Linked DNA regions of Arabidopsis thaliana. The protein of the gene in region 1 purifies or fractionates together with the protein of each later gene. This does not show direct contact. Each region holds a gene or a part of one and is shown on either strand. Other genes may lie near its edges.

What was found.
Region 2: the proteins of AT1G07830 (region 1) and AT5G55140 fractionate together in Arabidopsis thaliana (co-fractionation; one large-scale study listed by BioGRID). This does not show direct contact.

Annotation. Positions count from the first base shown.
Region 1 is NC_003070.9:2,420,142-2,424,481, reverse strand, and holds AT1G07830 (ribosomal protein L29 family protein), read right to left. Parts: upstream 2,357-4,340; 5' UTR 2,131-2,356; intron 1,975-2,130; 5' UTR 1,934-1,974; coding exon 1,765-1,933; intron 1,534-1,764; coding exon 1,376-1,533; intron 1,198-1,375; coding exon 1,090-1,197; 3' UTR 679-1,089; downstream 1-678. Other genes in the region: AT1G07820 (Histone superfamily protein), read left to right, coding at 2,736-3,047; ECA1 (ER-type Ca2+-ATPase 1), read right to left, coding at 3,910-4,340.
Region 2 is NC_003076.8:22,378,716-22,382,694, reverse strand, and holds AT5G55140 (ribosomal protein L30 family protein), read right to left. Parts: upstream 1,700-3,979; 5' UTR 1,583-1,699; intron 1,363-1,582; 5' UTR 1,326-1,362; coding exon 1,134-1,325; intron 1,046-1,133; coding exon 908-1,045; 3' UTR 501-907; downstream 1-500. Other genes in the region: AT5G55150 (F-box SKIP23-like protein (DUF295)), read left to right, coding at 1-420; AT5G55135 (uncharacterized protein), read right to left, coding at 2,309-2,566, 2,656-2,736; AT5G55132 (Defensin-like (DEFL) family protein), read right to left, coding at 3,226-3,401, 3,543-3,609.

The DNA.
Region 1 (4,340 bases):
AGTAACTGAGAACGAAAAGAATTTAATTCATGTTGAGATTTTGGAACAGAGATTATGGTTTGGTCCAACAACGTTTGAATATCTAAGTAAGCAGCCAAAGAGTAGCTAAATAAAAGTTTCATCTTCAATCCTTACGTTTTCCTACAAATACTGTCTACCAATTTACTAATTCATAGAAACAAACATTCACGATAACCCAATGCTAACCAAAATTGATGAATTCCCAACAGAGCAACTATCTCTCCGTTTTGACTCGATTAATTGAGCTCAGTGGTTGTCGGTACACCAAATCTAGAAGCGGAAAAGACACGAAGAAGAAAGCACTCACCGGAGATAGTGAACTTGAAGGTGACAGAGAGCGACGCTAAGAAAAAGGTCACGGCGGCCACAAAGTAAAATTAATCGAAAGCCTCTCTCTACTGATTTTCCGACAATTAAAACAAAAAAAAAAAGGTTTTAAGGAGACGCATGATTCTAACATATTTCAGGCCCCATTTAGCTTTAGGGCCCAATAAGGGTGGCTAAGTTTAATTATCGCAAGACGCAAGCAAATAATTTAGCGCAATCTATGGTTTTGGTGGTTTAATCATTTTGGTTATTCAGTTTCGACAATATGATTCTTTTCTTTTATAATCAAATAATCAGATTTTATTTTAATTTTTGCTGTGTCGTTAGTCACAATAATCAGTTGAGTTTGAGAACGAACACTGAGTTCTGATTCCTTCAGTCTCCTCCATATAGCCCATATAGGACTCGACTAAACCACCAAATCTTTCATCTGCCAAAATCTACTTCATCAGTGTCGTTGCCTTGCCATTACCGTTTATGTTGGTTTTAAGAGAAAGACAAAGCTCTGAATCAACACTGACCAACATGTGTCTCAAAAAGAAACATCAACCATAAGTTACAGAAATGTGCGTACAGATACCAACCAAACGTTTTTCTACTGCCGACACTACTACAGTCACAATCATTGGACCAGTTCCAAAGTCTTGAAAGCTATGCGTTATTTCTTACTCCGAAAAACTCAACACCTCTGCGGATTGACTCGTGCTTACTGCTAGGTTGCCAAAACAAGAGCCAATGGGATCACATACCATTTACCATTCTCTTCATCTCGGCTGATCTTCTAGAATCTGGTTCTTCAATCGCTCTCTCGGTCAGCACATGCTTAATGCGGCACATTGATCTCCTCACCTATATTTGTGAGAGGCAAACAAAGTTGACATTCATTAAAAAATAATCATAATCTCCCTCGGTAACAAAGAACATAACCATTCCTTGAAGAAAGGATTCATGTTTCTTCTCGTAGTATCTATTATTTTGTCAACAACTTAATTGGATAGAGAGTCAAAGCCAAATTAGTATCGATTACCTTTGGAATGCGTTCAGGGTTAGGAAACTGCATGTTCTGAGCCTGAAGCATCTGACGCTGAGTCATCAACATGTTTTTCTCTTTGAGAAGAACGTACCACAGCTTCTGAAGATCATCCCATGACTTGAGACGCAGCTCTGAAGCTTTCCAACCTCGACCTAACACCAGAAGTTTACAAATTTTCCCCCATTAACAAAACTAAACAATCCTAATTCCAAAAACTCCATGGGAGGATAACAAAGTTAAGAAGAAAAACGAACGATTAGCAAGCTTGACTACAGTCCTAAGCTACAGTGAATTACTTTACTTCTTCACTGTACATTCTATGAACAATCCCACTAGTAAACTAGTATTAAGCAGATGAGTGGCAGAAAACAGAGAGAAGCTACCATAGACAACAGGTTTATCTTCGTCTTGGCTTCTGTCGAACTCAAAGAACTCTTCGAGTGGATTTGTTGGCGTCCGAATCGTCGAGGCAGCTGCTGCTGCTGTAGTGGACTCCGATCGCGCCGATGCAGCCGCCAAGAATCTCCTCCCGACAAATCGCGTAAGAAACATTTTAACAACAAACAATTCCTTTGAGCTTGCAGTTATATAATCTGATCATCAACAACAATCAGAAAGAGAAATCGAGATTGGATAACAAAATGGTAAATGGTTAATGAAAGTCGTACAAAATATTTCAGGCTTCCGAAGAAGTGAGAGATCGTGTACACAGAAAAGCACATCTCGCAGAGGAATAAATAAGAACTCACCGGAGATAGAGAGAGGAGAGCTATTTCACGGCGACGGTGACGGCCACAGAGAATGGAAAACCCTCTCTCAACGTTTCTCCGAGAATAACAGGTTTACGGAGACGGAAACTTTTAGGGCCCAATACTAGCTCTGTTAGTATTGATACTATTATTGGGCCAGGTTTCATTTTCTCTTTTAAGGCCTAATAAGACCCAACACTTGCAAATTATTGGAAGACGAATGCTGTTTTTGTTTTGTTTTTCAATAAAACAACATCTTTCAATTAAATTGGGAGCAATCCACGTCATCGATCCGTCAAGTATTGTTAACGATGTATAACCATTGGATCAGTAATCAACGGTTGATATGAAAAATCACACGGATCAACGCAGTTTTATATATTAAGACATTAGTTAGCCACTTCATATCCGTCAAATTCAATTGATCCTCTCTCCAAATCATCTTAAAAGTATCTTCTTCTTCTCCATCTGGTTTATTGTTCGATCGTCAATTCAATTGATTGATTTGGAAATCTAGCGTTTCTGTTCGTTACCATTCACTGAATAATTTTTCTTCTGTTCTTCACAGTCACAGATCTTTGGGTATCAAGTAAAACTGTGAAGTGATGTCGGGAAGAGGAAAGGGAGGAAAAGGATTGGGAAAGGGAGGAGCGAAGAGGCACAGGAAGGTTCTGAGGGATAACATTCAAGGAATCACCAAGCCTGCCATTCGTCGTCTTGCTCGTAGAGGTGGTGTCAAGCGTATCAGTGGTCTCATCTACGAAGAGACCAGAGGTGTCCTCAAGATCTTCCTCGAGAATGTCATCCGTGACGCCGTTACTTACACTGAGCACGCTAGAAGGAAGACGGTGACCGCCATGGATGTTGTCTACGCTTTGAAGAGGCAAGGTCGTACTCTCTACGGTTTCGGAGGTTAATCCGATTTGGGGGATTAGGGTTTATGCAAGTTTGGGGATTTCTTCTTGTTTCTGAGATCTGTGTTAAATGGTTTGAATTAGTCTAAAGTAAATCTAGGAGTGTTAGCTACTGCTTTTGTTTTCTATTGTGATGTCGTTGTTAGCCAATGCGGTGTAGTTGAAAATCTTTGCAAACTTAAAGCTAAGAAAATCTAATGAGGATGAACAATTTACTCGATATCTTGTCTCCTGGTTTTTTACCATTTTTAACTGTAATCCCAAAGCTTCTGGGAAGATTCATGTTGAATCGAGAAACAGAGCTACATTTCACCCTATCTTCATTGGTACTCGTAAGATCAGGATTCAATCAACTAAGCAATTAATGATAATTGATAAATTACAGTTGAATTCTGCTATGAGTTCGTTTTTTATAATCTATAGACTTGGAACTTTGGAAGCAGTCAATATTGCAGGAAGGGGAACTAAACAGAAAACAACTAGATTACTCTGTCTCACGTGAAGGAGAATGTATCTTTACTCTGATCTGAGTACACAAAATCAAATCACCCAACAATGAAGGCTTGGGTGAAACATTCATCAATATTTCATCCATGAATTATATTGATTTGGAAGCAGTCAATATTGCAGAAAGAGAGATCTATCTAGCACATAACTTAGGAAGCATAAAAATGAAGGGCTTTGTTGAAACATTCATCTATTTCAGGCTCTTTGTCCGTGAACCAAATGAGAAGCAAGTTAGAACATTTTTATCAAACCAAAAATTATCGTTTTAGAAAATTAAATAACCAACGCCGAGGTAAGTAACAACGCTAATTTCAGCTAAAACTAAGAGTCTAATAATATAATGCTTTTGATTTATTTCTTACTCCTCCTTTTGCTTCGTGGAAAGAGTGCGAGGTGAGTAGCGGTAGCCACTCGTACACCTTCCTACAAACTTGAGCACTTCGTCTATAAGAATCACTGGAAGCGAAACAGCCAGTACCAGCAGCCACTCGTTCAAGCTCAGTGGCACTATCCCAAATACCTGAGCCAGGAATGGCACGTACAGTATCACAAAGTGGAGCCCGAATGAGACAGCCATAGCCAGGAGTAACCACGGGTTCACCCACGGCGGCATCGTTACCAGGCTGCCGTCTTCTGAGAGTGCGTTCAGGGAGTTGAACATTTCAATGGCCACCAACACCGAGAGGGAGAGTGTGGACGCCTTGATTTTCCCCTGCTGGAAATAGTCGCAAGGGTTTGAGTCGAACGAGAAAGTCTGAGAGCCTGCTGTGAAAGGAGACACTTTGAAGC
Region 2 (3,979 bases), on another chromosome or scaffold:
AGCACCTCGCCGTTTCGGTACGACTCTTGCAAGAAATACTTGGCAGAGTCGGATTACGACGAACTGTGGGTGGTCCTAAAGAAGCTGGAGCTTAACGACGATTGTGATTTCGAAACCTCTTTCGAGATTTACGAATTCAATCGCGAGACTAACGAATGGACAAAGGTGATGAGCTTGAGAGGAAAAGCTTTGTTCTTGAGCCCTCAAGGTAGATGTATAGCTGTTTTAGCAGGTGAGAGAGGATTTTTCAAAGACAACTCAGTTTATTTCATTGATGGTGATGATCCAAGTGTAGGAGGATCAGGGCCTCAGAATCTGAGCGTTTTTGAATGGGAGAGTAAGCAAATCATGAAAATTTACCAGCCAAGATCTTGGAATTGTCAGATGTTTTGGGTCACACCAACAGACGTTCCTCAGTGATGAATGACTGATGCATTGTAGAATTTGTAGTTTGCATAGTATAGGTTTTGTATTTCAAATTTCAATTCTTTGATACATTACAATTGTCATCATACATTTTGGTTCTTCATCTGTAACATATATATTAAGTTATGATTATTTCAGCATCTATCTTTCTCTCACTACTTTCATTAATCAAATTGAAAGGTAACTTTTTTGAGAATCAACTTTCACATTCTCAATCTTGAAACATTGGCCACAAAAAAAAAAAAAAACCGATAGATTTGAGATTGACAGAATGAGAGCAAAACATACACAAGTATCCAGTGTATACAAAAAACATAAAGAGGCACCAAACACACTGATACCAACATTTCTTATCAAGCGTCTAGGACTAGTTTACTTCCTGGACACCTTTAGAGAGAACTTAAACATAAGCCGCCTACAATATCCAAGCGGATCTTATCGAACTGACGGTAGAAGAGCTTACCATCTTATGAAAGTACTCTCAAGACATGTTGGATGAATCTGTTGCAGGACTCGAATGACTGACAACGAGAGGCGGGCGCAAAGCTTTGTGGTTGGCTTCTGCTTCTTTACGAGCATTGTACATTTCTTCTGTTTCAACAACAACCATCCTTTTAACCTACATAGAGGCAAAACCAACCATCACAATTTTGAAATCTAGGATTTTATGACAAATGAGAATAGATAAAAAGATAAAGGAAGAGAACCTGATCAATCATTCCCCTAATGGATGAATTGTTTGAATGCAAAACAGTACGATGACATCTACGAAGTCCCATAGCTTCAAGTGTTCGTCTGTGAAGCTTCCTTGTTCCAGGGAGACCTCTTACTAAGGTTATGTACAAGCTCTGGCTCCATTCAATAGGCACTTGTGCTTTGAAAGCTCTAAAACCACTCATTCTTTTTTTTTTTTGTCTCCTTTATCACTCAATCTCTCTGTAACCATTAACAAAATCATAATCAAGCAATCACACAGAATTCACCGTAGAAATCAATAGATACAATAAACGAAGACGATTGATAACATGAATCATGAGAGAGTGAATCATCACGAATTGAAACCAAATCAGATCGATCAATTCAGAAGAAAAGAGGAGCTGCATAACGCGAGATTTCAATTAGGTGTTTGAGATAGAAATGGATGGTTTTCGAGTACCTTGAGGAAACAGAGACGGGAGAAGTCCGGTGAAAGAGATCGTCGACGAGTGTAGTCAAGACGGCGAACAGAGCTCGGAAAATCTTTGAGATTCGCGTTTAAGGGTTTTAAGCTTTTAGCGGAACAATGGTTAAACGACAGCGTTTTGTAGATTAGCTTAATTATTTGGGCTTTATCTGGGCCCAATTATTGGCTCCTTTACCTTTTTATAATTTGTTCAAAAATTACTAGATTGGTTTCATTTTTTTTACATCAATCTTTAGATTTATTAATCTTGCAAAAACAATTTATTTCAGAAAGTGTATGATGAACAGTCAAATTCCACTGCTCTCATCACTAGTTCTAACCTCTAAATTGGTAAAAGCTATTTGCTAGGTAGGTGTATTATTTAAGGTTTTTCTACCTTCTATAAGTTCAATAGCTTTAAATCTTGGGGTTGATCAATATTATTACTAATGAGTAATGATGCATTATTAAAAAGAGAAAATTATCAAAGTAAATTATATTTATACAAAAGTAGTAGCTAAATTACATAACTAAAAGAAATCGGTAAACTTACAAATATTGGTAGACAAGAAAAAGAGAGAAAAAGGGCAACCGTTCTTCTATCCATTACTCGATTTATTATACAAAGTACATGAAGCCTATAATATTACATACATGATACATGATGCATATTATTACATACTACTACTTTACAAGTGATATCTAACAAATGCACATACGTTATATTCCTTTAGCCGTGTTGATAGGCAAACCATCATCATCATCCTCAGGTCTCTTCTTATAATTATAGTCTTTCTTATCTAAAAACGCCTCTTTCACCTTCTCCACATCCGCCTCAGAATCACCGGAGACGTTTACCGCCACCGCAGCTCCGTCAAAAGCCTTCTCAACTGTTTGGCTAGCAACACCTTGTCTTGTGAACTCCTCCGCCGTCGAAGAAGCTCTTCCTTCTTCCCTCCCTCCACTCGCACTTCCTCTCTACATATTAAGAAAACATCTCCAAAAATCTTTGTATATATATATAGTTAATCTATTTCATGAAAACGTAGGAATATCAGAATATATACCTTGAGATAAAAAGAGTAAATACATGATGTTGTTATATTAGGCTTGGAGATTGATTTTGGGTTCACATAATTTCTCAACATTTTTTCTTCGGAGGTCTCTTATTTTTGCAGCTTAGATTAGATCAAGTACCATAGATGAATTTTCCTATAGCAGTTAATTGAGACTTTTGATGTCTCATCAACGGAGGTTATGATTATGATGCCACGTGTGTGTGATGCGCCGTCGTAGCCAAAAGATGACATGTTTCCCAGGGTTAGTCACGACGTCATGCAATTTCCTTTGTAGTTAAATCCAATATACGAAGATTTCTATTTCATATTCTACAGTTTCATACATAACTTTACATGATCGATTTGACAAAATCGATGTCCTAATGACATTAACTATAAGTCGAACCGCTGTCGTTTTTCTTGTGGATTTTATTGTGTACATGTATTGAATTCTTATAAACATTTTGATGAGAGAGATTGGGGGTTGGATCAGGATGAGATTATATCAATTATCATTATATAAATATATGTTTTTAATAATATCTTATGATCGAGAGTACATATAGAATAAGAGATCAATCAATTGATGACCGGACTGGAGATGGGAGAATTAGAATAATTGTTGCAGCAACAAAATATTTTAACAGCCCCGTGAATTTTAGCGCTTTCACAATACCCTCCGCCTCTCATCATGCATCTTGTATTGCATCCTATTGTGCTTTTACATCCTTCCGTACATTTATCTGAAATTAGTCCTATACGATTTTATAAATAAAAAATTCATCAACAAAAAATTTATAAGCAAAAATGGTCAGTTTAATATTGAAAACTGTAGTTTTTTAAGAACAATTTTTTTAAAAAAAATATATAATTTGTATAACAAATAAATGTGTTACCAGAAATCATAGGTATGGTGAGGAGAGCAAACACCATCAACGTAAGTAATCGATGAGATGCAACCATTTTGGTTGTTATTTGTTATTCTTTCAAGATGATTCTATACCTGCTTCTCAAAACCTATTAAAAGCGAATTTCAAAGTTATTGTTATAACAAAAACAAAAATCTAGTAACATATTCTAAATATTTTATATTATTTTTGACTTACCTTTTGTATTTGTAATATTTCAGTACTTATTGAGAATGATTTGTGGTGGTCTTGGATGTACATTTATATAGACATACGTATATACATATATATATATATATGTAAATAATAAATCTTCCATATTATTCAAGGATTTTTTCTTCTTTTTTATAGTCTTATTTGGGTCAGATAATAATTTTAGTCAAAATGTTTCATTATTTATTCTTATCTGTCATTGGGATTATATT